Rhinolophus ferrumequinum: one gene and its partners. The protein of the gene in region 2 purifies or fractionates together with the protein of the main gene of each other region. This does not show direct contact. Links are inferred from orthologs where the notes say so. Each region holds a gene or a part of one and is shown on either strand. Other genes may lie near its edges.

Region 1 (9,964 bases), on a different chromosome or scaffold from region 2:
ATAATTATATAGCTATCCCTCACTTAAAAAGGAATTGTCCAAGTTTCTAATTCTAGTACTGTGTTTCCCCAAAAATAAAGACCTAGCCAGACAATCAGCTCTAAGACACATTAGAGCTGATTATCCAGCTAGGTCTTAGTTTTGGGGAAACACAGTACTAGAATTAGAAACATGGTACCTGACTTTAACAAACAGTAGGTCATCAAAGAATTCTTTACTTTATAGCTGCTAGCTATTACTATAGCACCTCAAAGTGTGTATAGGCATGAATGCTGGTAAAGAAAAGGTTCACACACAATCTCCTAAAATGATTATTGGTTAATATTAGGAAATTACACATGAAACCAAATCCACATTAGTCATAGAGCAGAGTACCTATCTGTTGAATAGGAAGCTAGCGTAGACTCCAACTAGACCAACTACTGGTGGAATAAAGTACTACGTTTTGTTCTGATTTCATTCACTGAAGGATTTGCATCAAAAGCATTTATTTTTAAGTTTATGTGAAATACAATCTGTATGCCCCAACAGCTTTGATAATTCATACGCTAGATATGTCTACAAAGTTTAAATATCTCAGGTAACTGTCAAGTCTTCTGAACCAAAAAAAAAGAAAAAAGAAAAAACAGAAAAAGAAAAACACCTATTTCTTCACCCTTACATAAAATGTGTTGTACTACAATCAAGTTTAAATTAATAAACAATTTTAGTCAATAAATATTTCTCCAAGTTAGTCTAATTGGCTGAATACAATGTGAATGAGTTAACATGGATGTGATGATCCCTGAGAGGAACCACCAGTTTTGCTGTTTCTACTATATACTGCTAGACTTGTTACACAAATGTGTGTTTTCTTGGTTTGCTTTTTTGCCCCTGTGGACTATCAAGTCAGAATGTCTTGAAGTATCAAACCAAGTTGACTGCTTCTTCATTGATGTGGAATTTTAAAAGTACAGAAATATACTTAAGATACATACATTTCAGATCCTCTATATTCAGAAGCTTTTTCTTCATTTTCTTGAGAATCTGTGAAATCCAAGGCTCTCTTAGTTTCCTTTTTCTGAAAAAACTTCAAGGAAAGTCTGTTTTTCTTCGATGGACTACCTTTCGAAAGCCCATTACTTTCACTAGGTATGACACCAGGCATTTTCTCTTCAAATCCCAAAGAGTTGACAAGAATTAATTTATAGAGGGACGATATAATCACCAATCATATCTGCTAATCACAAAAAAAGGTTTCATTAGTTTTCAGAGGTTTCCTTTGTTATCAGCTGTAGACAATAAAATCAATTTTGAAAATAAGTTTACCAAGGAATAATACTAATTAGAACTTAATATTTGAAAACCTAGGGCGCCTGGATGGCTCAGTTGGTTAGAGCACAAGCTCTTAACAGCAAGATTGCCAGTTCGATTCCCACATGGGCCAATGAGCTGTGTCCTCCACAACTAGATTGAAAAACGACTTGACATTTTGGAAAAACACACTGTTCTCCCAATATTCCCCAATTAAAAAAAAACAAAAACCTAATACCTGGGAATAACAGTCAATGTTTTATTGTTTGTCATTGTCCTTAACTTTCTTACACGACAAAAAGTAAGATACTGAACTAACTTGAGCCTATTAGATTAAGGGTTACATCACCAAATACCCCATTTTAGTAGACCTACTCTAAAGTATTAAAGAGTAAAACCTTAATTTTTATTATAATTTATTCATTCAGAAAATACTGAGCAACTACCATCTCTATAAAGTAGAAGGGAAACAGAAGGATGAATGGGAATCAAAGGATGCTGGAAATGAATGAGTCTTCCTTCTAAGGCCTTTTCTAATTATATGAATAAATGAAATAGTCTCAAAGAGGCTCTTTAAAGTATAATTTGCATACAAGAAAAGGCATAGATCTGGTAGTGGTATAACAAAACGAGTGAAAATAAAATAATGAAAGTTGAGAGAGTGATGCACTTCTGTATAAGAAAAATTGCTACACTTTGTGTATATAAAATTCTTATGCACTAGAAACCACAATATACTGATTTTCCAAAAATCTTTTAAACTAGATTTCTTAAAACAATGTTTTGTGTAGGAAAAAAGGATGATTTGGTTTACCATTTGCAACCCTTCTTCCCAATTTTAAAGTAAAACTTTTGGATAAAAAAAAATGATAGTATTTATGGTAGTTATTTTATACATCAGTTCTATTTTTTTTTTTTTTTAGGCTATCTGGGGGAAAATTATCTGACTGCAGTATTATGAGAACCCAAAAAGCTCAACAATCACTTTCAAATGTAGATACAGAGTAATACCATAAACTAACAAAATTCACTCAAATTCTGTCCTAAGTATTTCACTAGGCTGCCTCTAATCTGGGAATTCACAGCACTGAACTCAGCAGTGAAACCACATTTTTGATACTCAACTCAGGAATAACTGGAAAGCTGACCAATTTCCCCATTCCTTCTCCAACTCAATTTACTCTCCGGGCCACTTAAATGCTACTGATAAAAAGCTATCATGAATGATAAACCAGCCTGCGTTAAATTGTAAGGCATCTCTAAGCATTAATGATTCTTGTAAGCGGTTTTTCTTGGGAGCCAATTCTAATAAATGATGGAAACTGGATTATCTAAGAGACAGAGTAACCGGACTTAAGTCAATAGAAGAAAAACTTACCAAGCAGCTAAAATAACGGATTCCATCAATCCTAATCAATAACCAACCCTCCTGGCTCCCTCAAAGCAATGATTAAACTGAGAATATAACATTTTACCAGGTGCCGTATATTAAGCTATATTACTATGTCTTGCTTCTTATAACTGGGGGTTGTTACATAAAAAATGTTTCTTCTGCAGTCTAAATCAAATTTCGCAAAAAACAGTGAATCGAACATTAATAAATGACAGTGTGAATAAATGACGGCGTGAATCCTGTCCCACTAGTTTTAAGTGCTTTACAAAATGACACGACTCAATTACAATTTTTCACGAAAAAGGCAAAAGAATTAAGGATAACATCCTCTTCAAACGTTTAAGACACGTGGCGTTCGTTCTAAATACAGAAAAATTAAAAGTTAAACTGTGCGGTAAAATTCAGCAATTACCTACACAGGACAACGTGAGTGAAAACATTTCTTCTCCCTACCCTGCAGCACTCTACGCACGCAAAAGAAAGTGAAATTTGACTAGATGGTGCTGAAGTCGGTGCCTGTCAGACGCTGCCCTGGGCACAGCGGCAGGCTGGCCGGTGGCGTCCTTAGCCCGAACTACGGCTCCTGGGCCCCCACACCCGTGGGGTTGGCCTATTTACGCCCAGTCCGCACCTGCCTCCTCGACTCCCAGCCGCCGCAAAGAGGGAGCCCCGCCCGGTGCCCGGAGGGCTCGGCAGCTCTGCAAGAACGCAGCACCGGTCCAGCCCCGGGGTCTTCCCCGAGGCGCCGACGCCGGTGTCCCAGAGCAGCCCCACTCGGGAGCCGGCCCAACTTGTCTCGGCGGCCGGCACCGACCCCTCCTCCCCGGGCCCTCCGTACCTGGTCATGGCCCAAAGCGAGGTCCGCGGCGGTGACGCCGGTGAGTCGAATAGGGATGAGAGTAAGTGCGACAGATGAGATCTTGCCCCGAGCCCGCGGAGTCCCCGACCCGTGGAAAAGCTGGTCGGATCGCCCTCCCCGCGGGGGAGTGACCATTCGCTCTCAAAAGCGGGAACCCGGGCCGCCGCTCGGTCCTGCGGTGCGCCGGCACCAACTACATCCCCGGAGCGGCGCTCACCCGCGCCTGCCCCGGGATGGTGAGAAGCGCAAGAAGTAGTCCCACTGCCGAAGCGCCTGAACCGCTAGGGTCTTTCCCACTCCACTACCGAGGGGAACTTGGCGCGTTTTCCTCAGTCTCAGGACCCCCGTGTTTTAGCCTCCGCCCGCGCCAGCGCCGCGATTGGAGGTGGCGTCCTTCGAAGATGCCGGTTCTAGTCTCCACGGTGCAGAGACGCGAAAGGTAAGAGCCACCTCGCGACCGCCACTCGCACCCCTGGCACGCACGGACTCCGGAACCAGCTGGAACGGTAGTTTTCCCAAGATCCTAACGGGTTCTGCAGCTTCAAACAGCGCAGGCACTGTCACGGGCAGCTCGCGCGGGTCCTTCCTGAGGGCGCGCGCTAGGTGCTAGAGGCCTGGCTGGCGGGCTGGACCTCACACCCCCACACCCCCCTTTTTTTTCTTTTCTTTTTTTTTTTTTTAACCATTCGTGCGCGCGAGTTGAAGGAAAAGCGTACGGGTCGGGGGACGGGACAGAGACAAGATGGGACGGGCTCCTTCCTGGAGAAGGAGCCGCCGGGTGCTCAAATCCACCAATCCGTGATGAACAATTCCCTCCTGACCTTGCTCCCCCGACCAGCCCAAAGGAGCCAATCAGAAGTACATAGACAAAAGCCACTGAATGGGCGGGGAAATGAATTCCAGCCAATACCAAGAAGAAGAGAGGGGGGCTCCAGCCAATCATTGTTGGATATACAAAATGTTCCTCAGGAGTTGTTCCCTTCCTTCCGCTCCCATTGGCGTTCGAGTGCGCGCTTTCGCGGCCGACTGTTAAATCTCGCTCTGCGTTTTGCGAATCCTCGTCGGTGGGATGCCACCGAGGGTGCGGTTTCCGGAGTGAGGCCCTCACAATAAGCTCCGCCTACGTTCTTGCGTACCTAATCGGCGGAGTTTCCAGGGAGACTAGTTTCGAAAATGGCTGACCGGTTTTCTCGTGGGTTGGCGCTAGGGTTTTTCTCTCCGGAATCGCAGCCTCAGCCCCAAGGCAATCCAATGAAAATAAGCGCTGCCATGGATAACCGTAAATTCGCGGCGGAATACTGTAGAGCTGAGGCTCCTTTTCTCAGCTTACACGCCTCCTTTTCTCCAGTTTACCCCTTCCCCTTCCCGGCGGGAGAAGGAAACGAAATAGCATTTTAAGTCCCAGCGCTGGCTCGGGATGCTGCAAGGGAAAGGCTCAAAAAACGGCGAGGCAGGCCTCACCTGGGTTTTGCTTCCTTTCTGTGTTTGTATGCTTATCTTTGTGAGGTGACTTCACAACGCAAGTGCTGCAGTTAAGCAGGATAAGGTCAAGCGAAATTGATTTAATCAACCTTATTTTTAGGTGCCAGGCATTTTTCTAGGTGCTAGGGATATGGCGTGAGTGAAATATAATCCCTTCTCTAAAGGAACTGTATAGTCTAGACAGGGACAAAAATTAACTAAAATGACATGAAATAATATGAGTGATAGAGAAAGCAGATATAAGAAGGTGCAGTTTTAGATAGGATAGACTGGAAAGACCTCTGAGTTGATGTTTGAGCAGAGACCTGAATGAGAGTGGAGGGAACCTTGGAGGAATCTGAGCAAAGGGTGATCCAGGCAGAGAAAACAGCAAGTTAGAAAAGTCCTGAAGCTTAAGGCGGTTGGCATTTGGGAAAGAAGCTAGGAGGCCAGGGTGCTTAGTGCCCAGTGAACCTGAGAAGGACGATTGTGGGAAATAAGATTAGTGACATTGCGGGGCACTGATGAAGCAGGGTAAGGAGGTGGGAGTCGTTAGATGGTTTTACTCCGGAGAGTGGAATGATTTGTGTAAGTGGCTGCTTGTGGATGGATAGAGTGTTGACCTTCAAAAGTGCAAGCAGGAAAGTCCGCTAGGCTATTTCAGCAGCCCAGGGAATAAAGTATGGTGGCTTGGAATAAGGTGGTAGCAGTGGAAGAACTAGCAGAATTCAGAATATATTTTCAAGGAGAGCCAACAGGATCTACCGATGACATATAAGGAAAAAAAGAGACTAAAATGACAAGGATTTTCTTTTTTAAACCAAAGCAACTGAATAATGGTTGGTTCTTGCTAAAATGGGGAACATGGGGTCTAGTGGGTTTCGTGGGAGGAGCCATTGTTCTTAGATGTTAAGATTGAGATGCCTGTTGAGCCAGCAGATACCAATTTTGGAGCTTAGTGGAAAATTTAGATCAGGGGATATAAATCTGGGAGTCACCAAATGGTGTTTTAAACCATGAGACTGGAAGAAATCACCTAGAATGATAATATTCATTCTAAAAAATCTGCGGGGCATTGATGATCTCTTCCCTTGCCCAGCTAGGAATCCCGAATTAAGATAACTGCCCCTTAATTTACCCACCTTAGAATCAGTAGCTATCCCCCAAAAATCCATATTAAGAGTGACACTTAGAATTTCGGAATCATTGAGTTTATAAAAAGAATACTGTGACATGCACAGTGATTTCTAAACTGCCTATAGAGAAGTTAATGCTACTATCACTTGGTAAGGCTCAAAACTAGTGTTTTTTTAACCATGCTTTCAAAGGATTGATAAATCCTATTTGAGAGCCACAGAAAAAGCACCCAAACTTATTTTGAGGCCAGCATAATGGTGATGCTCAAGATAGAGAAGGACAAAATTAGAAAATACAAGTACACATCAGTCTCTTAGTTTACCTTTCTGTGCCATGGACTGGACAGTGTCTCACTCTCATACTAGCAAAATCATCGCTACATTCAAATTCTACTAGGATAGATAACCAATTCTAATTTCCTATTCTAATTTTCCTAATTCTAGTTTTCATATCTCCGTTGAGAGCCCATTGTCTGTAGCCACTATTCTTCCTGTACAATTTACAGAACCAGTCAAAGTTCATTTGCAGAGAATAGAATCCCTTCCACCTGGTGGTATAAGTACATCCTTCATACTTATAAGAAATTGAGTGTTGATTAAATAGATTCATTTTTTTTATAATGGTCCTTTTTTTTAATTTATTGGGGTGACAATTGTTAGTAGAATTACACAGATTTCAGGTGTACAATTCTGTATTACATCATCTATAAATCCCATTGTGTGTTCACCACCCGGAGTCAGTTCTCCTTCCATCACCAAGATTAAATAGATTCTAAGATTAGTTTTTCAGAAACAAGTCCCAAAGTCTTTACAGAACCAGGCCACCAAGGGAACAGTGACTCTTCTATGATCAGGAAATGATGATTTCTGAACTACATTCTCCTGCAATTGCCTAGGAAACCACCACAATCAAAGCCGCTTGTGTTGCCAACTCCAGAACCACACTGTACCCACTTTGATCTATACCAGTACAATACATGTTCTAAATCCTGCCCATCAAGGCCCACAGAACTAATTAGCGGCTGGACACTGAGACTTTGCTAATGCTGCTTCAGAAACACCAAACACCTCCTCAACTGTGCTTATCAGTAGCAACAGCTGAAGCCTGGGGATGCATATATCAAGCTTGGTGTATCTCTGGCAATATAATTCATGCAAAAATTTAAAGGGTTTCTGTTGTTTTGCTTTCAGTCAGTTCAATGTGGGAGAAATTACAGCAGCAGTTCTTGCCTAGATAAAGTTTATAAGCCCAAAGACTATCTTTTATTTCCTGGCTTCTCTGTGCTGAGCAGCTACGTCATCCTTAATGACAGCTAACTTGGGGGCATCTGAAACTGGAATTTAATAGGTGGGCAGCATTCTTAATCCCATCTTTGTCAGTTTAGTATGGCTGAGTGGCAGGCATATTTCCTTCCAAGGCTTTTGTTCACAGACACTGTTTCTATTTGCTTTGATTTGGAGGTATAGAAATACTTGGGGTTTTTTTCAGTCTTTTAAAGCCCAAAATTATGGGACTCTTAATCCACTTAGATTACAGACAGAGTTCCCCTCTTAGCAAAATTGTTCCTTTCCATCTCTACCTTCCGATGGGCCAATTCTGGCCTGAGTTCATTTCCCATAGAACTTTGCTGGAAGTGGCAAGAAAAAGCCAGTAAATACCAAGTTTATAAAGTTTCCCAGTTATTTCCTTTCATACTACAAATATCTTACAATTGGACAAGTGTCACCAGTTTTCCATCTTGCAACATCTGAGTCTGCCCAAATGCTTCCACTCAGCCAACGAGATATGTCTATGTCTTCTAAGGTTATGCGATGTGCAGTATGAATGGATAACCTTCTGGTCACTATGCCTATAATTAATGTTAAGTCATAGCATAATGTAGTTGGGAGGTGCTGTACCTGATAGAGGTAAAGGACTATTCTCCCAAAGAAAATGCAGGACCTACCAGCGTGTACCACCAGGAACTTGGGGAGTATGTGTGGCTTTCCACAAATCACAGATGAATGTAGCAGAGGCCTCCCAAAATTTGGCTCACTAGTACGGTGGGGATGACAGGACCCCACAATAATAGAGACCAGGTGACAGTGCTGTACTACCAGATGCCAGGTTACAATTGTTATAACTGTGTAATACACAGTTACACAGGGGACCTGACACACACAGTTACGGAAATGGTTGACAGAAAATGGTGTTCTTAGGGGAAATATAGATAGGCAGCCAACAGAGGTTTTATTAGTTTGTATCAGCAGAAAAAAAATCAAGAGCTGATGACCAGGAGGCTAAGGTCTGTCACCCCATAAAGTCCCAATTCCTTAATCAGTTTCCACACCTGAGCCATTGTATAGACCTGGAACCCATTGATTGTAGAGGTCCCCAGAAGGAAGGACCCTGCCACATACTTGAACAAGTATAAATGGTAATTATTTCCCTAGTCCATCCCCAAAGTATCTTTGGCCATTTATTTGGGTAATTGTACCTTGGGGAAATGGGGATATCCAGACATTTAAAGTACTGTTTAGACATTGGTAAATTGACATTGGTATCCAGAGATCAGAAATATCATCATGGTCCTCTGTTAGAGTGGGGACAGAGAGAGGCCAGTTATTAAGTGGGGTCGTGGCAAAGTCATGCTCAGAGTGGGTCTGTGGCCCACCCAACAGTCATTTCCCCTGTCCTCAAATATATAATGGGATTGATCTATTTGGCAACTGGTAGAAACCCATTGGGACCTTTGCCTGTGGAGTAGAAGCTATCATAGTGGGGAAGGCCAAGTGGAAGCCTCTGAAATTGCCTCCGCTCCCCAGGCAAACATGGCACAGGAAATCAAAACGATATTGTATCTCAGGAGAGGATGGCAGAAATTAGTGCCACTCTTATGCATTTAAAAGATACAGAGTGCTGATTCCCATCATATCTCCATTTAACTCACATGTGTCCCTGCAAAACATAGATGGGCCCTGAAGGATGACAGTAGATTATGGCAAGCTTACCAATTAGTAGACCTGATGGCAGCTGTTGTGCCAGATGCAGTATATTTGCTAGAACAGATTAATACAGCTTCGGGTACTTGATACACATCGTTAATTTAGCGAATGCATTCTTGTCTGTTCTAGTTTTAAGAAAGGATCAGAAACAGTTGGCATTCCCATGAAACAGACAAAAGTTCACATTTACAGTTTGGCCCAGGGCGATGTTAACATTCCTGCCCTCTGTCATAAAATAGTTTGAAGACATCTGGACCTTCTGGACATCCTGCAGAACATCATGTTAATCTATTACGTCAATGACATCCAGCTGATTGAGCAGGATAAGTAAATTATAACTGTATAAAGAGAATGAAAGAACTAACAGTGTACATGCAAGGTGAATGTGCAGAGGAGTGTGCACAAGAAAGCTTATCTTCTTTATTGGGAAGTCAATATATAATAGCTCAGTGAAAAATCAAGTAGAAATATGAGCATGTTATTTAGATATGTGAAGAAATGTGAACATGTTATTTAGAAAAGTTGTTCTTTAGATAACTTTTAGAATCAGCTAAAAGTTGTAAATGGTTGCTTGAGGGAATGGGAAGTCTTGTTGGAACCATTTAACTCTTTAAATCATGTACATGTATCACTTTGAAAAAAGCAAAAAAAAAAAATTTTTTTTAAAGCACTGTAAATGAATTGTTTTCCGATTTCATCCCCTGGGAAATGTCAGAGCAAAGAGGTTCCACAGGAGTAGGATTATTGGGGATTGGATGACAATTCTGATTCTCACTTTCTGGGTGCAAGTTAAAGGCAGGCCTTTATGTATGTGAACCCTTGGCCTTTATCTAGCAT
Region 2 (9,609 bases):
TGCCTACACATAACAGTTCAATGAATACTTGTTGAATGAGTCTCAAGTAATTTATATTGTTACCAGAAGTGGTGGAATTACATGGTCTTTATTTGTTGGTCTAATACTACACTGTTTGTGACATATAACACGTCTATTTCTACGAGGCAGGATGTGAGAAACAAGAGAAAGACAAAGGATTACGGGATTAAAAAGGGTACACTACAATCTGAGAAGCTGTCAAGCGGTATTGATGAAGTGGGCTACCTAAAGTGATAGTGGCGATCTAAATTCTTGATAGAGTTCTTGTGAGGGAGGGGTAAGGCTTTAGAGAACCCAGAAAGTCTCATCCTGCCAGTGAGCAGGGAACATAGGAATTGTGTGGCCACCTGGGGCTCATTTAGTTCACTAGAGCAGTAATTTGCTAAATGGGTTCTTCCTAGTAAAAAAGAATGAGTAAATAGTGAGCAATTTAGGCATGGTAAACCACTAGTAGCTCAAGGGATATAAAAATGTGAAACTATAATTAGATTCCTTGTTCATAATGTACTAACTAAATGTATTACATTGTATATTGCATCTTTCTGCATTTATTTCTGGACACAGCTGAGACCTTAATAATTCAGACTGAAAGCATCCCAGCTATCAAGTCTTGCCTCCATTAAAATTCCAACTGCTCATATTAGGAAAAAAATTCCAAAGATAGTTTCTTTTATCTTGGATCTAAGGATGCAAACAGGATTAACCTAGATGCACAACACAGCAAGTCAGTTATAAATCACACAGCGTAAAATAAACTGTGGCAGTAAATTGAAAATTATGTTCTCTTTTTCTCCACTTAGCTGTGAAAATATTTTAACAAGTTGGCATCAGGGTTTGCAACTTTTACATCTGTTGTTTCTTGTCAGGATTATCTTTTAGCATTTTAAGATGTGTTTCTTTGAAAAGTGTGGCTAGTCAGAAAAATGTGGTATTGTACATGTGAAACACTTTAAAGGGTGTGGGGGGGAAGCCTCTAGGAGTCACGGTGGTTTCAGGATACTCACTCTACTTTTAAGTAGGAGAAGCTATTTCACGGGTGTCTGAAAAACACTTGGCCTGTCCTGAAATCCTTTTCTTATTCAAAAAGATTGTGTAGTGTAGGTTGGCTCAGATGGTCTGGATGATGTTTCATGATACTAGTAAGCTCTAAGCACAAGTTTCATTGCCCTTATCAATGTCTGTTATTTCAACTACAAGGTTCCAGTTGATGTGGTGTTAAGGGCACTGCCTATTCTTTACGAACTCTCATTTTCTCTCTCCCCTTTCATCCCCACGTTGAGTAACTTTATGAAAGGTTTGGAGGTGGAACAAGGAATGGATCATATTGTAGATTTTTGCTTTTCTGCTTTCTTCTCAACTCCTATTTTCATTATTCTGAGTACAATGGAATATGGTGTCTTTAAGGTTATGAATACTATGTATGAAATAGTTTCTTTATGTAGAAATTATATTCTACATTCTTTCCCCTGCCCCATGCCCCCAACTCACTCTTTCTTTGAGGCTGGAATGTATTTCCTTTGTCTTCATGTTGAAATACTTTAACATTATTCATTATTCCCCTCCTCCTCCCAATTTAATAATCCCTCATACCAAGTCTGGCAGGTATGTATGATGAAGTCCCATCCCCTCGTTCTCTCCCCAATACTTTGGGTACTAAATTTTCTGAGCAATGCTTTTTCTTTAAAAAATTTTCCTCTTGGAGGAGGTGTTTTGGTTATAAATACCTTCAAAGAGTAAACAAAATTCCTAGAGGATAAAAAGGCAGAGTCCTGGTGATTGTGTGTAAAGCTAAATGACAAGAACCAGAGCTAGATTAAGTACAGCACTATAATTTCTTAGAGAGTATGCAAATGGACATTGGGCCAATGGTGACAGTATTTATGATTAAAACAAACTTGCCTTTAGTTATATTAGCTAAAGAAATATAACTCTAGAAAGCAGGTATATGGGAGGTAATACAGATTTTTTTTTTTAATTTATATGAGGCAATATTGGCGAACAGTGTGTTTTTCCAGGACCCACCAGCTCCAGGTCAAGTCATTGTTTTCACTCTAGCTGTGGAAGGCGCAGCTCACTGGCCCATGTGGGAATCGAACCAGCGACCTTGGTATTATGAGCATTGTGCTCTAACCAACTGAGCCAACCGGCTGCCCAATACACATTTCTTAATAGATCGAAAATTAAATGGGTTTGTAGGAAATTAACTAAGGAACTAAGGAATGTAAAGAGTTTTTGTACTGAAATTTAACATGCTCTTTGTTTTTCGATCTTATTAAAGGGAGGCTAAATTAAAATACCATTCGTTTCATTTCTAGAACTAATTGTGTTAGGGACTACTCAAGACACCATATAGATTAGTGCAGTTGAAATTGAACTTCAACGTCATTATCTCTTTCTCTGCCTCCTTGCTTTCTTTTGAAGACTGATCCTTCAGCAAGTATTCAGTTTCAGTTGTTCCAGATGATTTCATCCAAAGGTAGGTCTCTATTGTCTGACTTCCTAGACTAGGTCAGTTCCCCTTGCTTTATTTTTGTCTCTTCCCCCGGCACCTGGTCTTTCCCCTTCCCTACATCCCTCTCACTTGTTGACTCTTTCTTTCTAATCTGTAAGCTGTATACAAAGGCAAGGACATGGTATATATTTTTTCAATCATTTTATTTTCAGCTTTTGTTAAGTCCTTCTGTTTTAGGTGCTCTTGTAAACATAAAGTTCATTTTTGTTTGTTTCTTTTTTAACAAAAACTTGACCATTTCTGTCTTTTAACTCTAACTGGCAAGTTTAGTCCACTTATGTTTGTGGTGATTATTGACAGCTGGTCTTATTTATCTCCTCCAGTTTCCATTGCTACTGTTATTTCTATGCTTTTTTCCCCCTCTCTTTGTGCCCTTTCTTTGGGGGTTGAGTATTTGCTTGTTCTTTTTTTTCCCAGTATTATTTTACATTAGTTTCAGGAGTACCGTGTTTCCCTGAAAACAAGATCTACCCCGAAAATAAGCCCCAGTTAAGACTGTCAACTAGACGGATGCATTTAGTACGTTATGATGATGTTCCAGAAGAAGATGACATGACTGTATTTGAATAAATGTAGATTGCTGTACATGAAAAAAATAAGACATCCCCTGAAAATACACCCTAATGCATCTTTTGGAGCAAAAATTAATATAAGACCCAGTCTTATTTTGGGGGAAATACAGTAGTATTTGTTTCTTCTTATTTTGTTTTATCTCCTTTATTAGTTTGGAAGTTGGCACTTTCGTTCTTTTCTTTTAGTGGTTACTCTCAAAATTTTACTTGTGTACTTAACAAAATGTAACATTAATAGCTGAACCTCCCAGTGGTAAGAGGGCCCTAGAACATTTTAACTTCAGTTACTTCCTCCTTATGTTTAAGCAGTTATTGTCCAGCATTTTATTTCTGTCTTTTTTTTTCAACTCTACAAACTGAGCGTTAAAAATTTTTATACAGATAATATTTAGATTTATCTACATGTTTACCAGTAAATTTGCTCACTATTTCTTGTATCTAGGCTGATTACTTATCCTTTTAGTTTCTCTGATTATTCTCTCCTAGGGGACTATCTCACATTTCCTCCTATCTCTTCAAACCTTCAGCACTTCCTCCACAATCCTTGCTCACAGCTGTTGACCATGCTTCCTACTTAACAGAAGATAGAATCAGAAGAGACGTTTCAAAAATTGTCTCCACTACACTTACCTACGTTCTAGCACCAGTGTTCATATATTCTTCCTTTCCTGTCTTTGTTGGATAACCTATCTGTGCTCCAGCATTCTAATCCCTCTACTTAAGCACTAAATCCCATCTCCTTTCACTTATTGAAGATATTTTTTATTCTCCTTTCTCATCCTGTATCATCAGTTTTTCTACCTAATTATATCATTTTTATCAGCTTTCAACATAGTATACTTTCCTCCATATTGAATTAAAACCCTTCCTCAACTCACAGCTCCCTCTTGTACAGCAAAATTCTTTGAAAGAGTTGTATGGTATGTACTAGTTCCCTAATTTTCCCCCTGGGCTACCTTGATCTTGAGCTCATGCTTTCATCCTTAAAAAAAAAAAAAAAAAGAAAAATCCAGAAAACGGCAGGGACAGTGTCTGATTCATTCAATTGCTGTAACACAGTGGTGACTGGTATACAATATGTTTATAATTATTTGTTAAGTTAATTGACTTGACTGTCTTATCTCTCTTAGGAGAATTTGCATTCTCCCTAATTTAAAAAATAAAACTGTTGATTGAATTGAAACGGAATAAAATTAGTTTCATGAGGCCAAGAGGTAAGACTTCAAAAGAAAAATACAGAAAATCATTCTCAGGAATTTCAAGAATCAAGCGAGATATGTATTTATTTTTGTCCTGGTAGCTTCCTTAATCCCTCTTCAGCAAAACTGTGTAGATAACCTAAGTACAACTTTCCTTGCCCTTAATTTTTGTTATGTCAGCTGCAAGTTCCAGTTGATTTCTCTTTCTCCTTCCCCCACCAAAGTTTAGGAATTTCACTGAAGTTAAGGCAGGCCCTGGATAGTATACGGTTGAAAAAGTCTCACATGTGAAAATCCAGATTTATAAAACAATATGGGGGAACGGTAACTCAATTAAAAAGGTTTACTAAATTCTTTTAAATAGTAAGCTACCCTACTCTAGTCTACAGTATTGTTTTAACTGACAAGAAAGTGCAACTTTTCAAAACACAACTAAACATTGTAACAGTAGAACTTTTTTTCTGAATGTTGAAAGAAACAACAAGGGATGACATAGGAGGGAACACACAGGAACAGCCCATCTCGTATCCCACTAATGTCTCCTTTCCAACGTTGCTATTACTTTCCAGTGCTTTCTGTGTCATTAAGTTACTCCAAACTTTAAGATCAATGGGAAAAAAATGAGAGCCCTGCCCTTTGCCCTTTTCCTTTTTAGATATAGGCATGGAAGAAGATCAGCTCCGGGTTGCACGACTTCCACCAAGCACATTCAGCAATTGTCCAAGTTAGTATTTCCAGACACTTCCAGTCTCCCTTGACCTTGAAAAAGTAGGGAAAAAGTGAAATTGGCTTACTTTGATTGCCAGTTATCCAGTGGTGCTGTGGGTATTTGTATCCCATACAACGGGTGGAGGTGAGGGTCACGAACCGGGGATTTTTGTGCCATTTTGAGTCCCTCAAAGTCCTTAATTTCAATTAGTAGGGAAAACGAAACTCTTATGGGAAGCGGGAGTGGGAGAGTTGGGTACAAGTTAATCAACAAGAACATTCCCGGCACAGTGTTCAACAGTAGAGGGCACAATACGCACTGTCCACTGCCAGGTGCTGGATGCAAGGAGGGGCACAACGTAAGGATCTCTGGGGCTTGTAGTTCGCCCTGTTTCCCTTGAGCATGACCGTCTCCGCACTAGCACTACAACTCCCAGAGTGCACCGCACGCCTCTTTTGTCGGCCTCCCCTTCTGTGAGGCCCGCGCTGGAACCTCGGGGGAAACGGCTCCCCCGCCCCGCCCTCGTACGCACGCGTCAGTTTGTTTACTCTGAAGCCCCGCCTCCCCTCCGACCTCCAGCTCTCCCCACTCCTCCCAGGAATGCCGTCATGCTAGCAATGCATATTCATAAGGCTCACGTGGAGCTCCCGCCCTGTCCGCCTCCCGCCTTCCCGCTCCCGGCGCGTGATTAATATTCAATGAGCCCAGCCTCGCGGCTGGTTCGCTGGCGTGAGGTGTGGGAGCGGGCGGGGCCTGTGCGCGGGAGCCCTCGACCCGGGCGGGGAGGGCGTGTTGAGAGGGGGGGCGGTGGCGGCGAGGCGGGCGCGCGGGATGGAACACCGAGACACCGACGGAATGCTCCGAATTGCCACATAATCCCCTGGAACGGCCGCGCCGAACGCCATTGGCTTCTCCCTTCTCCCCGCGCCACCGCCGCCGTCTCCCACCTTCGCCTCACCGCCTCCCTCTCTGCCCGCTGCCTCCGGAGCTGGGGGGGAAGCTCGGAGCCCCACTGCAATGGAGCCCGCCGCCGCGTCTACGGCGCAGCGACTCCCAGAAACCAGCAGGGAGGACCGAGCTCCGGCTCCGGCGGCGGCCGCAGCGGCAGCGGCGGCGGCAGCGGCGGCGGCGGCAGCGGCGGCCGCGGCAGCTCTGGCGGCGGCGGCGGCCGGGGACGGCCGGAGCCCAGAGCCCGCGCTGACCCCGGCGGCCCCGAGCACCGGGGCGCGGGAAGAGGCCCCCCGCGAGGCGCAGCCGGGGCCGCTGCCGGGCAGAGTGGGAGGCACCGGTCGCAGGAGGAGGCGCGGCGCGCCCCAGCCCACCGCCGGCGGGGCTGCCCCGGTGTCCGGGGCCGGCAGCGGCGCCAACTCCCTCCTGCTGAGGAGAGGGAGGCTGAAGAGGAATCTGTCCTCAACTGCTGCCGCCTCGTCGTCGTCGTCCTCCTCGTCGTCGTCGTCGTCCTCGGCCGCTGCCGCCTCGCACTCCCCCGGCAGCGCCGGCCTCTCCGCCTCCTGCTCGGCCTCGGCGTCGCTGTGCACCCGGAGCCTGGACAGGAAGACGCTGCTCCTGAAGCACCGGCAGATGCTGCAGCTGCAGCCGTCGGACCGGGACTGGGTGAGGCACCAGCTCCAGCGCGGCTGCCTGCACGTCTTCGATCGCCACATGGCCTCGACCTACCTGCGCCCGGTGCTCTGCACACTGGACACCACGGCCGGCGAGGTGGCCGCCCGCCTGCTGCAGGTGGGCCACAAAGGCGGCGGCGTGGTGAAGGTGCTGGGCAAGGGGCCCCCCGATGCCGGCCCCCGGCTCGCACCCGGCGAGCCGCGGGACCTGCGGCCGCCCCCCCGGAACAGCGCGCTGGCCGCCGTCGGGGCCCCGCCGCGCGCGCCTCCTGCCGACCTGCCGCTGCCCGGTGACCCCGGCGGGTGGGCGCTCGGCTCCTCCCGCGCCAGCCCCGCGCCCTCGGACTCCAGCCCGGGTGAGCCAGGCGCCGCGCGGCCCCTGGACAGCGCGGCCGCGGGCCGGGCTTCGGATACCGAGAGCTTCAGCCTGAGCCCCAGCGTCGAGAGCGTGTCGGACCGGCTGGACCCCTATAGCAGCGGCGGTGGCTCTTCGTCGTCGTCCGAGGAGCTCGAGGCCGATCCAGCCGCGCCGGGAGTTCCGGGCCAGCCCCGCCTGCCCGGCCGCTCAGTGCAGCCCCGGGCCGGAGCAGGCGCCCGGCCGCCTTCCCCGACGGCCTCCCCGCCTCTGCCGCAGCCAAAAGCCCAGAGGCTCGTCGACGGCCCGGACGGGGCTGCCCGCGATTGGCCTCGGGAGGAAAAGGAGGCAGCAGCCGCGGCCCCTGGCCGCCCCCAGCTCCCCCCGGGTGGGAACCCGGCGACCGCGGAGAAGGCGCCTCCGCCGCCCACCTTGTACGTGCAGCTCCACGGAGAGACCACCCGGCGCCTGGAGGCGGACGAGAAGCCTTTGCAGATTCAAAATGACTACCTCTTCCAGCTGGGCTTTGGGGAGTTATGGAGGGTGCAGGAGGAAGGCATGGACTCAGAGATTGGCTGCCTTATCCGCTTCTACGCAGGTAAGGAAATCACCTGGACTTGGCCGGGGAGGGGGGGTGAAAAGTGTCAACTCATCATGTTCAGAGGTGGGAGTCAGGTGGGCGGTCTGTTGGCCCGACCCCAGAATAGTCGCAGGTCCTAGGCAGTGTTTGTGACTTTACAGTTTTCACGGGTGATCTGTGTAATACTCAACTGAGCAATTATTCGTGCCGATCGTTTGGTCAGTCTTGAGGGACTCAGGTTGGGAAGCAACTCAGAGGTTGGGAGGGGTTGGTAGAACCCCCGGGAAGTACAGGAAGCAGGTATTCAAGAGGCAGTAGTACCTTCAACAATGAACCTGCTGCCCTCAGGCCTCCCTCAGGGCAGTTGGGGATTTCAGGTAAACTATCACGTGTACTTAATACCGATAGAGGAAAATGGCTAACAAAAACGCTCTAGAACACTCTCCCTACACTTGACTGCCCTCCTAACCCTAATACTGCCCCCCCCCCAGCTCCTTACTTGTCAAATTGGTGCACGTTCAGCTCTCTTTGTCATGCTTATTTGCCCACTTACCCCTCGTTAGAGACCTAACAGATAGGATCCTTTTTAGATAACTTTTTCCCAGCGCTTTTTTGCTTTATTACAATTTCCTCTCCAAGTTTGATTCTTGCATCAAAAGTGATTTTGCCTATTTTGTTTCTCACGTTCAGTCTTTATAGCCAGAACTGACCATTGTAGTGTGATTTACAATGGGGAATCACAGTAAGACTTTAAGTGCTATCTCTTGAAATGTGATCTAAAGTCCTCGTTCTTTTTCAGTTCTAGATTAAAATTTTTTAAAAAATTCTATTCTTTATTCCAGATTTTTTTGAGATACAATTGACAGATCAAATTCTTGACTGGGGTGAATAATGTTCTCTTGGATGAGAGATTTGGCTGGTGCATAATTAGGGAGCTATAGATTCTGGTTGTTATATTTGAGCTTTATAAGTTGGTTACATCCTTTCTCCCTCTGGTTTCAAGAATTATGTTATTAGTTATAAGGAATTTTATAAAGGTAGCATAACAAAATAAATCAGAGTTGTATCTTCCCCAACTTTACTATTCTAGGTTGTAGGTGATAGTGGAAAAATAATCACACTTGTAATTAATCTGTACCCATTCTTTCTATTTAGTATGTTCTTGGTCCAACTTATGTCCTAGTGGCAGTGTAGTCAGTTTGAATGAAGAAATCTTTACTCCCACATTGAAATATGCAAGACAAATAAATAGCATTCCTGATGAGATGTTCCTCTGAATTTCACTGAAGTTTTTCTGTAATTCAGGTGGATTTCTGATGGAGTTTTGCCTTATAAAGAAAACCATATCATAATACAATAGCATTTGCAGTTTCATTTGAAGATGGTATCCCAACTGGATGACATGCCTTTAAAAGTTTATGGTCTAGGAAATAGGTGATTTTGTTTTTTATGTAGGAGCAACAACTCTATCCTTTTCTCCTACAGCTCATCTAATTTGTAAAATTACAAAAGCATTAAATGATAATCACACATGGAATGGGAATATTTTGTTAACATTGAAGTGATAAATACCCTCATAACCAGACTTAATTCATGGAAGGAAATGTGTATATATATATATATATATGTATATATATATATATATATATACACACACATTTAACAGTATTGGACATATTTTATATGGAAAGAGCTCTGTATCCCCTGTTTTCCTCACCACTAGATATGTTTATCATGATAAATGCTAATAGGAAAGTTTTGGGTGTCATGGTCATGAAATTTAAATCTTTGATTCCCCTTGATTGTCTCTTCAAGTGTATCTAAAATATTCTAAGTGAATGATATACAGTTTTTAACATCTCAATATAAAAGTGGCAAAGTATCTTTCTGGTTAAATCTTAAATTTCTGGTGTGGTCATTTTAATCTTTTTTTTGTTTTTTATGAATAGCAGTAATTGTTACTTCATTCTGAACTTACTTGCTTTATTTCTGTATACACAACATAAATATTTACATGCCTCTGTGTATATGCTCATAAA
Region 3 (10,153 bases), on a different chromosome or scaffold from region 2:
ACAAAACAATATGTCAGTTTTACAAGTTGAGGAAAACCAAGATCCCAAGAAATATAATTTGTCCAAAGTCAGCTTTAGACTCGGGCTTCACTGGAGAGACACCCAATGGTACAGATTCCAGTTCTCAGTTACACTGACTATAATCATGTCCTCATATAAAATACAAACTATGGTCAAAAAATATATTAAAGAAATGTCCTTCTGTGTTCATCAGTCTTTCCACTGTGTCGTCTCTGAGATTTTGTTCAACCCTTATCTGTGCAGATACCACACTACAGTAAAAATTTCATCTTTACCAATGTCATGCCCACAAGAAACTGCTGAGTTCCACGCAGATAGGGACTCACCTCCTTTATTTACTTAGCACCTGTCCATAGGATGTGCCAACACGGACACAGCAGGTCCTCAACAAATGGCCATTTACGGGGACAAAAATGTAATCTATCTGACACACAGCATTTCCTATATGGTACATCTTGTAACACTATTAACAAGCTAAATTAAGATTAGATGATTTAGACCAATTTGCATTAGTCCAAGTGACATTTCTAGGGAGCACAGTTGGTTTCTCCTAACAAATGCTTCCTCTTTAGAAAATTCCTCAAACTCTTCAAACAGAAAACTTGCCAAAAAAATGAAAACACAAAAACCTTCAATTTGTAAGGTCATAAAAATACGCAGGAAGCTAAATCCATTGGTCTGGAAAAAATCAGAGGATTATCAACAAGGGACATTTTCTCATGCTTGGTAGCAGCTAGTGCATTTTAAAAATTACAACACACCAGCCAAACAAGCTTTACTATCTGTGAACCAGACATGCTGTGTAGCTAAGCTGACAAGCCCTAAGCAAGTTGATCAAGAATCACTATGGCAGGAATTCACATGGAAGTAAAATTAAAACAAATGGGAGCTAGCATTCAAGTTCCCATGCACAATAAAACTTCAGTGGGGAAGGTGACAAGTGAAGACATGTGAATATTTCCAAGTCCCTATATCTAAAATTGGCACAAGAAGTATGAGGGGAAGAGAAGGTGTTTCTCAATCACATGAAGGATTTGCTATGGAAGTTTTGTTTCTGCTCTGCTGGGTCCTCTCTTGTCTGGTGGACGAAACAAATCCATTTTTCAATGCTAGATCTTGGTTTGCTCAAGTGTTACCTAGAAAGATGATATCGTTTAACACCGTTTCTGGACACATACATCAGCCTGTTTAAAATATGCCAAATGACCTGCTTTAAAAAAATGCAATCACCACTTGCTCTTATAACAACTACTCAAACCAGCTGGGACCAAATGGAGTTAAGAGTGGGAAGGATCAATAAGAGCCCCAGAAAGAAGCTAAACAGTGAGAAGGAACCCACAGACCACCTACCTGAAAACAATTCATCATCGAGTGAAGACTCTAAAGACAGGTCCAATGAAAATTTACATCTGATCAGGTGAAAAGACAGCAGTCTCATCCCCAAGCCTTCCTGTGTGGGAAGTGAGACTGGGAGGGGCGAGGGTGACCTGAGCAGCCTTTCATAAGGGGCGGGATTATGGATTCCCATCCCAGGCTTTGTATACAGTCACTCGGCTTGGTTTGCATAAATGACCATGTGGGTTGTTTATATTAGTGGCTGCTGTCATCAAGTCCAAGAAGGCATACTCCCCATTGTCCTTTGAACAACTGAAGGTGACATAATGATGTTGGAAACAGCTAACACTCAATAAGTACTTGTAACTCATTTAATACAACAGTCCTAGGAGGTAGGAACCATCATCACCCTGTCTTTATAGATAAGACAAAGAACAACTTGTTCAAGGACAAAGAGCTAGTATGTGTTAAAACCAGGACTTGAACCCAGAAAGTCTAACTTGAGAGCCCAAATCTTCATCACTTGCTCAAGACACAATGTCCAAACCAGAAGATAAAACATCTTACTTTTGAATTATTTATTGGTTCCTCACCACACCTAGGTGATGAGCCTAAATTTGGTACCTATTTAAAGATTCTACGAGGTATCAACTTTCCAGACAATACTAGCGCACTCCTCTCACGTCCTCCCTGCCACTTGTCTCCGTGGCTGAGTTTTACTGGGAATAGGTTGCGACATTCTGTCCAGATGTGCCAAAAAGCCCCAGTTGCACCGAGGGTAGGTAGGTAGATAGATAGATAGATAGAGAGAGAGAGAAATAAATAAATTTTTAAAAGCTGGAGGCTGGCTTCCTCTTGGGACGCGCTACTCACTCTCAAGTTTCCAGCCTGCTTCAGTAGAGAGAGGTGTCACCACACACTAGCTTAGGACGGGAACACCACCCAGGGCTGGGACTGCACCTCACTGCCCTGTAAGCCTGAGGCCACTCCAGCAGGCATGAAAGAAGAGTGTTAGAGCTGCTCTGGTTTCACAGGCCCCTCAGGAGCTAGTCTAGCATAGAGGGAAACCTAGAAGGCATCACCTTTCCACTGCACCAGGCAACATTATCTCCACAGGAAGACGGAGCAGGAGACCCAACTGCGTAGAGAAGGACGGGAAAGAGAGGAAATGGATATGCTCCAGGATCCACCCACCACATCTAACTGGTCCTGTGCCAATACCTTGGCAGCTATCACTCTGGGAAGCCCCAGCATTTGTTCTGCTGGCCATGGCAGTGACCACAGCCAACAGTGCTGAAAACTGAAGCCAGCACCAGTGGGTCTCAATTCCACTCCTGAGCGAACACATGGCTCCTTAATGCTTCTCTGCCATGTGTTAATCTTACAACAAAATGTGGGACAGAAGATTTAAAAAGCTCTGTGATGGGGGAAGGGCAGCCAGATCACCTTACCTCCAGGCTTCCTAATCAAGCCTCCTCAGATTCCCTTTAGGGGCCTGTATTATTAGCTACTAGGGAGGTTTTCCCCAAACTAGCATTAAAAGAACACGTGTTCCAGCTGGAGATAAGGGAGCTTTGCTGGGACGAGGGGACCCTGGAGAAGGAAGGCAAAGCAGACACTCTTTCAGCCTGCACAGGAGGGCAATGTCTTACTCCAGGAGGCAAGCTGTGCACCCCAAGGCTCTGACAAGTGGGGGTGCCAGCAGGGTGCACCCTGGGGACTCAAGGGCTGGAAGCTGTTCCTGCAGAAACTGAAAAGCAAGGGAAAGCTGTAAGAGAACCCCAAGTTAAAGTCACCACCCCGCCCTGGAACCAGTCCCCATCAGAGCCCAGTGATATTCCCTTGCTGTGTCTACACCCACCAGCCTACACAGAGCCTACAGCGCATCAGGCCGGATCACCCCGGAGACCTCCTCCACTCCCACAGCCTGTCCCACCACTCTCAGGGCCTTCAAATGTCACTGCCATATAACCTTGTCCCTCTTTCACTGGTGGGGAAACTGAGGCATCTAAGACCTATTACCGTGCTTTCTCAAACCAGGTGAAATTCACTTCCCTAAGCACAATTTTGCACTTTTTTTATAGCTTTATTACATTTCAAATTTCTCCAGATACAGCGATTGCCTTTGGAAAGTGCATTTTAAATACAGTTTAAGGAGTGAACTCAAAATGTGAAGAGGGCGGTCAGAGAGACCCGCAGGGCTTCATCTACCGCAAGGACAGGATGGGTACCCCCCACCCCCCGGCTTATCCCGCAAGCCCTTCCACCGGGACGTCCGGGTTCGGCCTCCCCCTAAGGCGCTTCCACCGCAACCCGAGGGCGGAGGCACCCGGCGCGGCCGGGTACCAGCGGGCGGGTTCCCAGGTCCCAGTGCAGAGAGCGGGGCAGGGGGGCTCGGGGCCCCTCCCCCGGGGGCTCTAGGGGCTGCGGCCGGCGCGCCCAGCCCGGGGCGGGGAACTTCGAGCGACGCGGCGCAGACCCTGCCGCCCCTCGCCCCCACCCCCACCCCGGCGCCAGGCGAGTGTGCGGCTCGGGTTTCCCTTTCTTTGCCTCGCCGCGCCTCGGGCGCGACCCCCGAGGCGGCAACGGCGGCGGCGGCCACTCACCATATTACAGATGGAGGCGATGTTTCGGACAGTCATTAGTCTAAAGGTTGCAGCGATCCCGCACCGCCATCTTTATAAGGTGAAAACAGGACTGTCCATGGTGGAGCGCCCGCAGGGAGGCCGGGCGGCGGCGGGGAGGCGGCGGGGAGGCGGCCTGGGGTCCGGCTTTCAGTTTGGCTGGGAGAGGGAGGCTGGGAGGGAGGAGGCGGAGGCGGGGAGGGCGGGGAAGGCGGGGAGGGCGGGCGGGAGAGCGGAGGGCGGGGAGTGGCGGAGTGGGGGAGCCTGGGCCGCGGCCGCGGGCGCGAGGAGGAGGGGCCGCCTGAGCGCGCCGCGTGCGGCCCGCGCCCCGCGCTGCCTCCGTGCGCCCGGCCTCCCGCCGGCCCGGCACCTGGCCCCGGGCCTCTACGCCCTCTTCCAGCCGCCCGCGCCCCGGGCCACCGGGCTCGGCCTTTTTCTTTTCCTTTTTATATTCTGCTTCACTATCTTTGGACTGAAATGCCGGCCCAGGCCCTCGCCTGCGCGGCTGCGGCAACCTCACCGCGCGGGTCCCCGGGGCAGACCCAGATGCCGCGGCGGCAGCGGCGGCGGCGGCCTCCTCCGGGCCCGTGGCGCCGGCGGGAACCAGGGACAGCGCTGGGCGTTGGGCACCGCCTGGCGGAAGGGGCCGCGCCTCGGGCCGACAGCAGGCTGGGGAGGCGGGAGCCCGGGCCCAAGGCACGGACGCCGCGGAGAGGGCCGGTGCCACACGGGGTAGTTTTCTGGCTTCACTTTTTCTTTCCTGCCTCCGGTCTCGCAGCAGCCCCAGGTCTTTATATTTTGGCGGGTGGAGAAAGCAAAGGGTAGGGGTGACTAAGGCCAACTTTTAGTTTCTCCCTGGGGTTACAGCCAGATGGCACCGGCGAGGACCAGAATGGGGTCAGAACAGGCGAGTGTGAGAAAGCCCTTGCCAGCCGTGGGCCGGCTGCCTGGTAAAGGGCGCCGCGAGGGGAGAAGAATCTGGGTCTTGGGCGGAGGCCAGAGCGACGCGCTCAGGCAGTTTGTGACATTAACAGGTACAAAGGACAAGTCCGGGTTCTGGGCAAGGAGTAGGGACTGTCCGAGGAGCGATTTGAATCCGGAAAGAACCAACCTTGAACGCATCTTAAAGAAAAAACTACCTCTCTCCTGGGCACTCAACCTCTAGGTTTTGAGAAGACTGCTCTGCTGGCTCAGACACATTTCCTGCATAAAAGGTCGTGGCTCCTAGCTCAACTAGCGAATCTACACCACTTAGCAGATACGTTCATGCGAAGTGGAAAGGAGCCCGTTTCCAAATGTGTGAAACAATTCTACATACAAGGTTGCAATTCAGTGCTTTCAACCGAAAAGTTGTACAAGTGAAACGCATGGTAATTCTTAAACCAATATATGTAATGACATTTGAAGAAATTAATATAACTGAAGACAGCTTTCATCTAACCAAGCCAAGGGTACCATACTGGGAAAAGATTCCACATCCTATTCTCCATTATCTATTTAGTGTTACACACGAAGATTTGAGAACCATTGATTGCTAATATCCCTAGGACTAGGGTGAAAACAAAATAACTACTGACTCAAGTTTTGTGGGGTCATGTTAGCTGTGTATATTTCAATGGGTTTAAGGAATAAACTCCTGCATATGTTAAGTCATTCTACCTACATCTTATTTCCAAACAAATCCTGATGATGATAATCAGTAACTTTGAGTTCTTACCATTGTCAGTCATGATGTTCTTTACATTCATGATCTTCAGTTACCGTCAGGACTATCAGGTGATAGATGCTATTATCCTCATCGCCTTTTGCAGATCAGTAAAATAAGACCTAGAGGATCAAATCTGCCTCCTGTTGCCAAATGTTACAAATGTAGCTGGTGTGCTAAGCAGGCTGGGAGAGGAGAAGGGAGCAAAATACCCAAACTATGGCCAGTTGGATAACAGACCTAGAAAGGTTTAAAGACTTAAGGAAAATGGCCAAACAAGTTCAGGAGAACCTTCAGGGCCCAAACTCAGGACTCGGGACTCAATTTCACAGACATTCCACCATAAAGGCATTAATCCAAAGCCTTAAAATGATAATGGAAATTTTATACCGTCATAGAGTTCAGCATTCTGCCGGCATTGACACAATGGATTGCAAAGTCCACGGGACAGAAAACCCCACTGACATAATGAAAATTGAACATCATCTGATGACTGAGTGCTATATGAACAAGTTAAAAGAGTCTTTTGCGTGCCTTTTAACAGTGTGTAGCCTAAAAGTGAAGTGTTCAATGTAGACAAACATCCAGATTGAAACTCAAGCAGTGAATTACATACACAACAAATCAATTGAACACAGCAGATCTTCTCAGGCTCATGAATAATTAAATACATGTTTACACTACTAGATTGGTATTCACAGGTCTAAATTGAAAAAGGCATCAGTTGAAGAAGAATTGTAACTTCGGCTTCACTCAGTAAGGAAACACTTGCAAATGATAAGAGGTAAAATGATGAAAATGTTGACAAGCTAATGAAAGAACTTTGAGGCAAAGCATTTCATGTATAGGGACTAGCTTGTATGAAGGTATAGAGATAGAACTGGGAAAAGTAGGCAAATGGAAGGATGGGAGGCTAGCACTAAACAGCTTGAATGAATCTGAGGGAGGCAGTCACTCCAGGTAGTATGCCTCTTGCTACACAAAGTGTGGTCCGTGAAGCAGCAGCACTGGCGTCACCTGGGAGCCTGTGAGAAGTGCAGATTCTCAGATTGCATCCCAGACCTACTAAATGAGACTGCATATGAAGTGTGAAGAGCAATGCTCCAGCCAACCACTTGTGGTGGTGGTGGTCTCTGTTTTTGCCTGCCCAGGTCCAGATTCTACTTTGGGGAACTCCTCTCCCATTCCCAGAACCTAAGGTTCAGGTGTGGCTAAGTCACCTCCTGGCTCCAGAGTAAGGCACGTGATCCAGGCCTGGCCAATGTGGCCTGATTGCCCAGCCACAGTAATTGCTTCAGCAAGGAGAATGTAATATAAACTGAGCCAATGAGGATCAGCCCTGGGTTTTTTGGAGAGGAGGTACTCCCCTTCCTGAGTTTGTTGAGCTGATAGGATAAAATCTAGAGCTGCCATCTTTCCACTGCCTGAGAATGAAACCAGTGTAGAAAAAAAATGAAGCTGAGGAATGGAAAAGAGACCCTAACCACATCATTTATCCACTAGCTGCTAGATCTATATCCTGGACTCTAGCAACTCAAGTCAGTAAAGTCTTTGTTTTCTTTGGCCCATTCAAATTGAGTGTCTGTCACACACAACTGAAAGAATCCTAATAACCAGTGTCTCCCTGTCCCCCCAAATGCATTAGGCTCATTCCAAATTCATGATGTTTTCTTTTCCTCTCTTCTCTACTCACTAAACTGATCTTTGGAAGTCTTCCTCCTATAGTTTTGCCTCCTCCGTGAGGCCATCCCAGATTGCTCTCCCACACCACAACCACGAAAGAACTCCCATATTCAGATGGTTCCATACTCTCCCTTCTATTGTTACCAGTTTCCTGTCTGTCTCCCTCCTGCTTCCCCTCTTTGCTTAGCCTTCCGATGACTGGAGGCCACTCAGCCTTCCGATGACTGGAGACAAGATGAGATGCCCTTGTTATATGTTCTTATAGCACCATCCATCTTTCCTTCAAAGACCTTATATTTATAAATATGTTTATGCCATGTAGCACACAGCATGGAGGCAGTAGAGTGGGTGGTTGAAAAATGAACCCTGGATCCAGGCTGCCTGAACTAGCTGTATCACCTGGAGCAAGGTTTTTTAACCTCTCTAGCCACAATTTATCTACAAAATGAAGACAATAAGAGTACCCCTCAGAGTGTGATTGCATAAGTTTATGTAAAATACTAAAAATATACCTGGCATATATGAACCACTATAAGTGATAGCTGCTATAATTATTGTGCATGTGACTATTTGGTTAATGTTTATTTCCCAACCCTCATCAGACATGAAGAGACAGGCCTGGTTTTACTCATTTTACATCTAAAGAAAGACACAGCGCCTTGTCCATAGGAGGAGCCAAGAATTCAGATATTAAGTATCTGAACAATTGCCTTTCCAAGTGGCCTGGAAGCTCCTGGAGGAAAAGAACCTTGTCATGTGAATTTTTAAAAATCTCCTCTGGTCTCAGGCACTGAGACTGGCACATTCATTCCTTTCCTTTTTTCCTTATTGTCATATAGGTTATTGCAGCTCACTTGATATGCAAATGCTAGTAAACATTTCGCTGTTTGAGGGAAAAACATTTTGCTGGCTGTAGACTTGAGTTTGAAACCAAACTGGTATCTGTGGATTATATTTCAATTTTATGAGGAACTTTGTGACAGCCTTTTTCCTTTTTCATCATGCATCGAACAAATACTTACTAAAGACATACTTTGTGCTAGACGCTCTGTGTGGCACTGGTGATCCCAAGATAAAAGAAGGCAGTCGCAGCACTTGCACTGCTCGAGTTCATTGGTGGTGCTCCTTGGCATTGTTTATGAATGTCCTTGCTCCATTTTGCCTGCAATTAGTATGAAATAAGGATAAGCTAACTTTGGTATGAGCATCAATTTAGAGTTCCTACAACAGAGAAGCTGCATCTAAAATCATGAGTGTATTTATGGGTTGTTAAGATTCCCTGAGCCTTTGGAACAATTGGCTTATTATGAGTGCCAATTAAAATGCTGTGGAAGGATTATTAAGCTCGGTTGGAACATGATTAGATTTTATTTGCTCATACATTTTGATTAACTGAAAGAAGAGATTAGTCTAGCTGGCCACCATATGGGGAAATAGGGTTTGAAGGAAAGCAAAAGCACTCTAGGTGAGGTCAGTTAGAAATCTGTGGTGAGAATCCCAGAGTTGTCAGTAGCCTGGGAATGGCAATGGGGAGCAGGGGGGAAGGGGAGCAAGAAGTGGACAAATTGAAGATTTGTTTTTGGAGGCAGTCAGCTGAATTTGGTGATTGACTGGGATTAGCAACAAGTGTGAGTCAAAGATGAGTCCCAAGATTCTGACTAGAATATAAAGGAATGTCATTTTTTATGATAGGGAATGCTGAAGGAGAAGGTTCAAATATAGGTGGTTAGGAAGAAGTGAGTTTGGTTTCAGAGGTGTTGAGTTTGCAATAACCATGAAACACCTGAATAGTTATATCAAGCACTGGTCTAGGCTCAGAAGAAATGTCTGGACTGGAGATAAATCTAAGAGTAATTAATTAATGTATAGAAGATAATGGAGGACATGCAGTTATGGATGCAATTGCCTAGTGAGAGTATATAGAATGAGGATAGACAAGGGCATAGTCAGAAAGAACTCCACCATGCAAGGATCAGGTGGCAGACAAGGAGCCAAAGAAAACTAATACAGAGCTTCTAAAGTGTAGAAGCAAGGAAACATGCAACATCACAAAGCCAAAGAGTATTTCAAGATGGAGGGAAGAGTCAAATGTATTCTATCTGACAGCTAAGAGATCAAGGAAGGTAAATACTACTAGTAGCAACAGATTCTTGAATAAGGCTTTAAAATGAATCCTTCTGACAACCCTATGAGGAAGGCAGTAGTATTATAATCCCCATTTTAGAGACGAGAAAGTTGAGGCTCAGAAAGTTTAAGTAATTTGCCCCAATTTATGTATTATCTCACCAGAGCCTATTACTCAAGAGGCCTTGGAATTCTCTCAAAGACACTTTGCATGGAATGGTTAGGATAGAATACAGACTGGAATGGGTTGTTAAGTGAAAGGGAGGTGAGAAAAAAGACTAAAGATGCTTGGCTTTTGAAGGGAAAGAGAGAGAGGGTAGTAGACAACTGAGCTCAAAAATACCTTCAGTGAGTGGCTCTCTGCCTGGTTTGCAAGGACCTCCTTAATTTGGCTCTGCTGCACCTGTTCCAACCTTTCAGTCAAGCAAGTACATCCTCTCACTTCCTGCTTCCAGGCCTGCAGGCTCATGACTCCCCTAACACTCAGCTGATTATTCTTTTTTCTATTTCAAGTCTACTTGTTCCTCAAAACTCAGTTCAAAGCTCACTTCCAAAGGAAGTTTTCTCAGCTTTATTTAGCTTGGTAAGTTTTTACCAAAGGTCACTTTTTATATTTCTGTAGAACCCTAAAGTGCCTGGCCGAATGCTGGGCATGCACACT

The links.
Region 1: the proteins of PHLPP1 (region 2) and USP1 purify together in Homo sapiens (affinity purification with mass spectrometry; 6 studies listed by BioGRID and IntAct, counting the BioPlex papers as one, with this or other methods). This does not show direct contact. The link is inferred for Rhinolophus ferrumequinum from reciprocal best matches to the Homo sapiens genes PHLPP1 and USP1.
Region 3: the proteins of PHLPP1 (region 2) and USP46 purify together in Homo sapiens (affinity purification with mass spectrometry; 7 studies listed by BioGRID and IntAct, counting the BioPlex papers as one, with this or other methods). This does not show direct contact. The link is inferred for Rhinolophus ferrumequinum from reciprocal best matches to the Homo sapiens genes PHLPP1 and USP46.

Annotation. Positions count from the first base shown.
Region 1 is NC_046292.1:45,619,791-45,629,754, reverse strand, and holds the start of USP1 (ubiquitin carboxyl-terminal hydrolase 1), read right to left. Parts: upstream 4,268-9,964; 5' UTR 3,525-4,267; intron 1,220-3,524; 5' UTR 1,148-1,219; coding exon 978-1,147; intron 1-977. UniProt on the Homo sapiens protein: Negative regulator of DNA damage repair which specifically deubiquitinates monoubiquitinated FANCD2. Also involved in PCNA-mediated translesion synthesis (TLS) by deubiquitinating monoubiquitinated PCNA.
Region 2 is NC_046302.1:50,042,844-50,052,452, forward strand, and holds the start of PHLPP1 (PH domain leucine-rich repeat-containing protein phosphatase 1), read left to right. Parts: upstream 1-5,694; 5' UTR 5,695-6,030; coding exon 6,031-7,588; intron 7,589-9,609. UniProt on the Homo sapiens protein: Protein phosphatase involved in regulation of Akt and PKC signaling.
Region 3 is NC_046288.1:15,425,274-15,435,426, forward strand, and holds the start of USP46 (ubiquitin carboxyl-terminal hydrolase 46), read right to left. Parts: upstream 4,170-10,153; 5' UTR 3,999-4,169; coding exon 3,963-3,998; intron 1-3,962. UniProt on the Homo sapiens protein: Deubiquitinating enzyme that plays a role in behavior, possibly by regulating GABA action. May act by mediating the deubiquitination of GAD1/GAD67.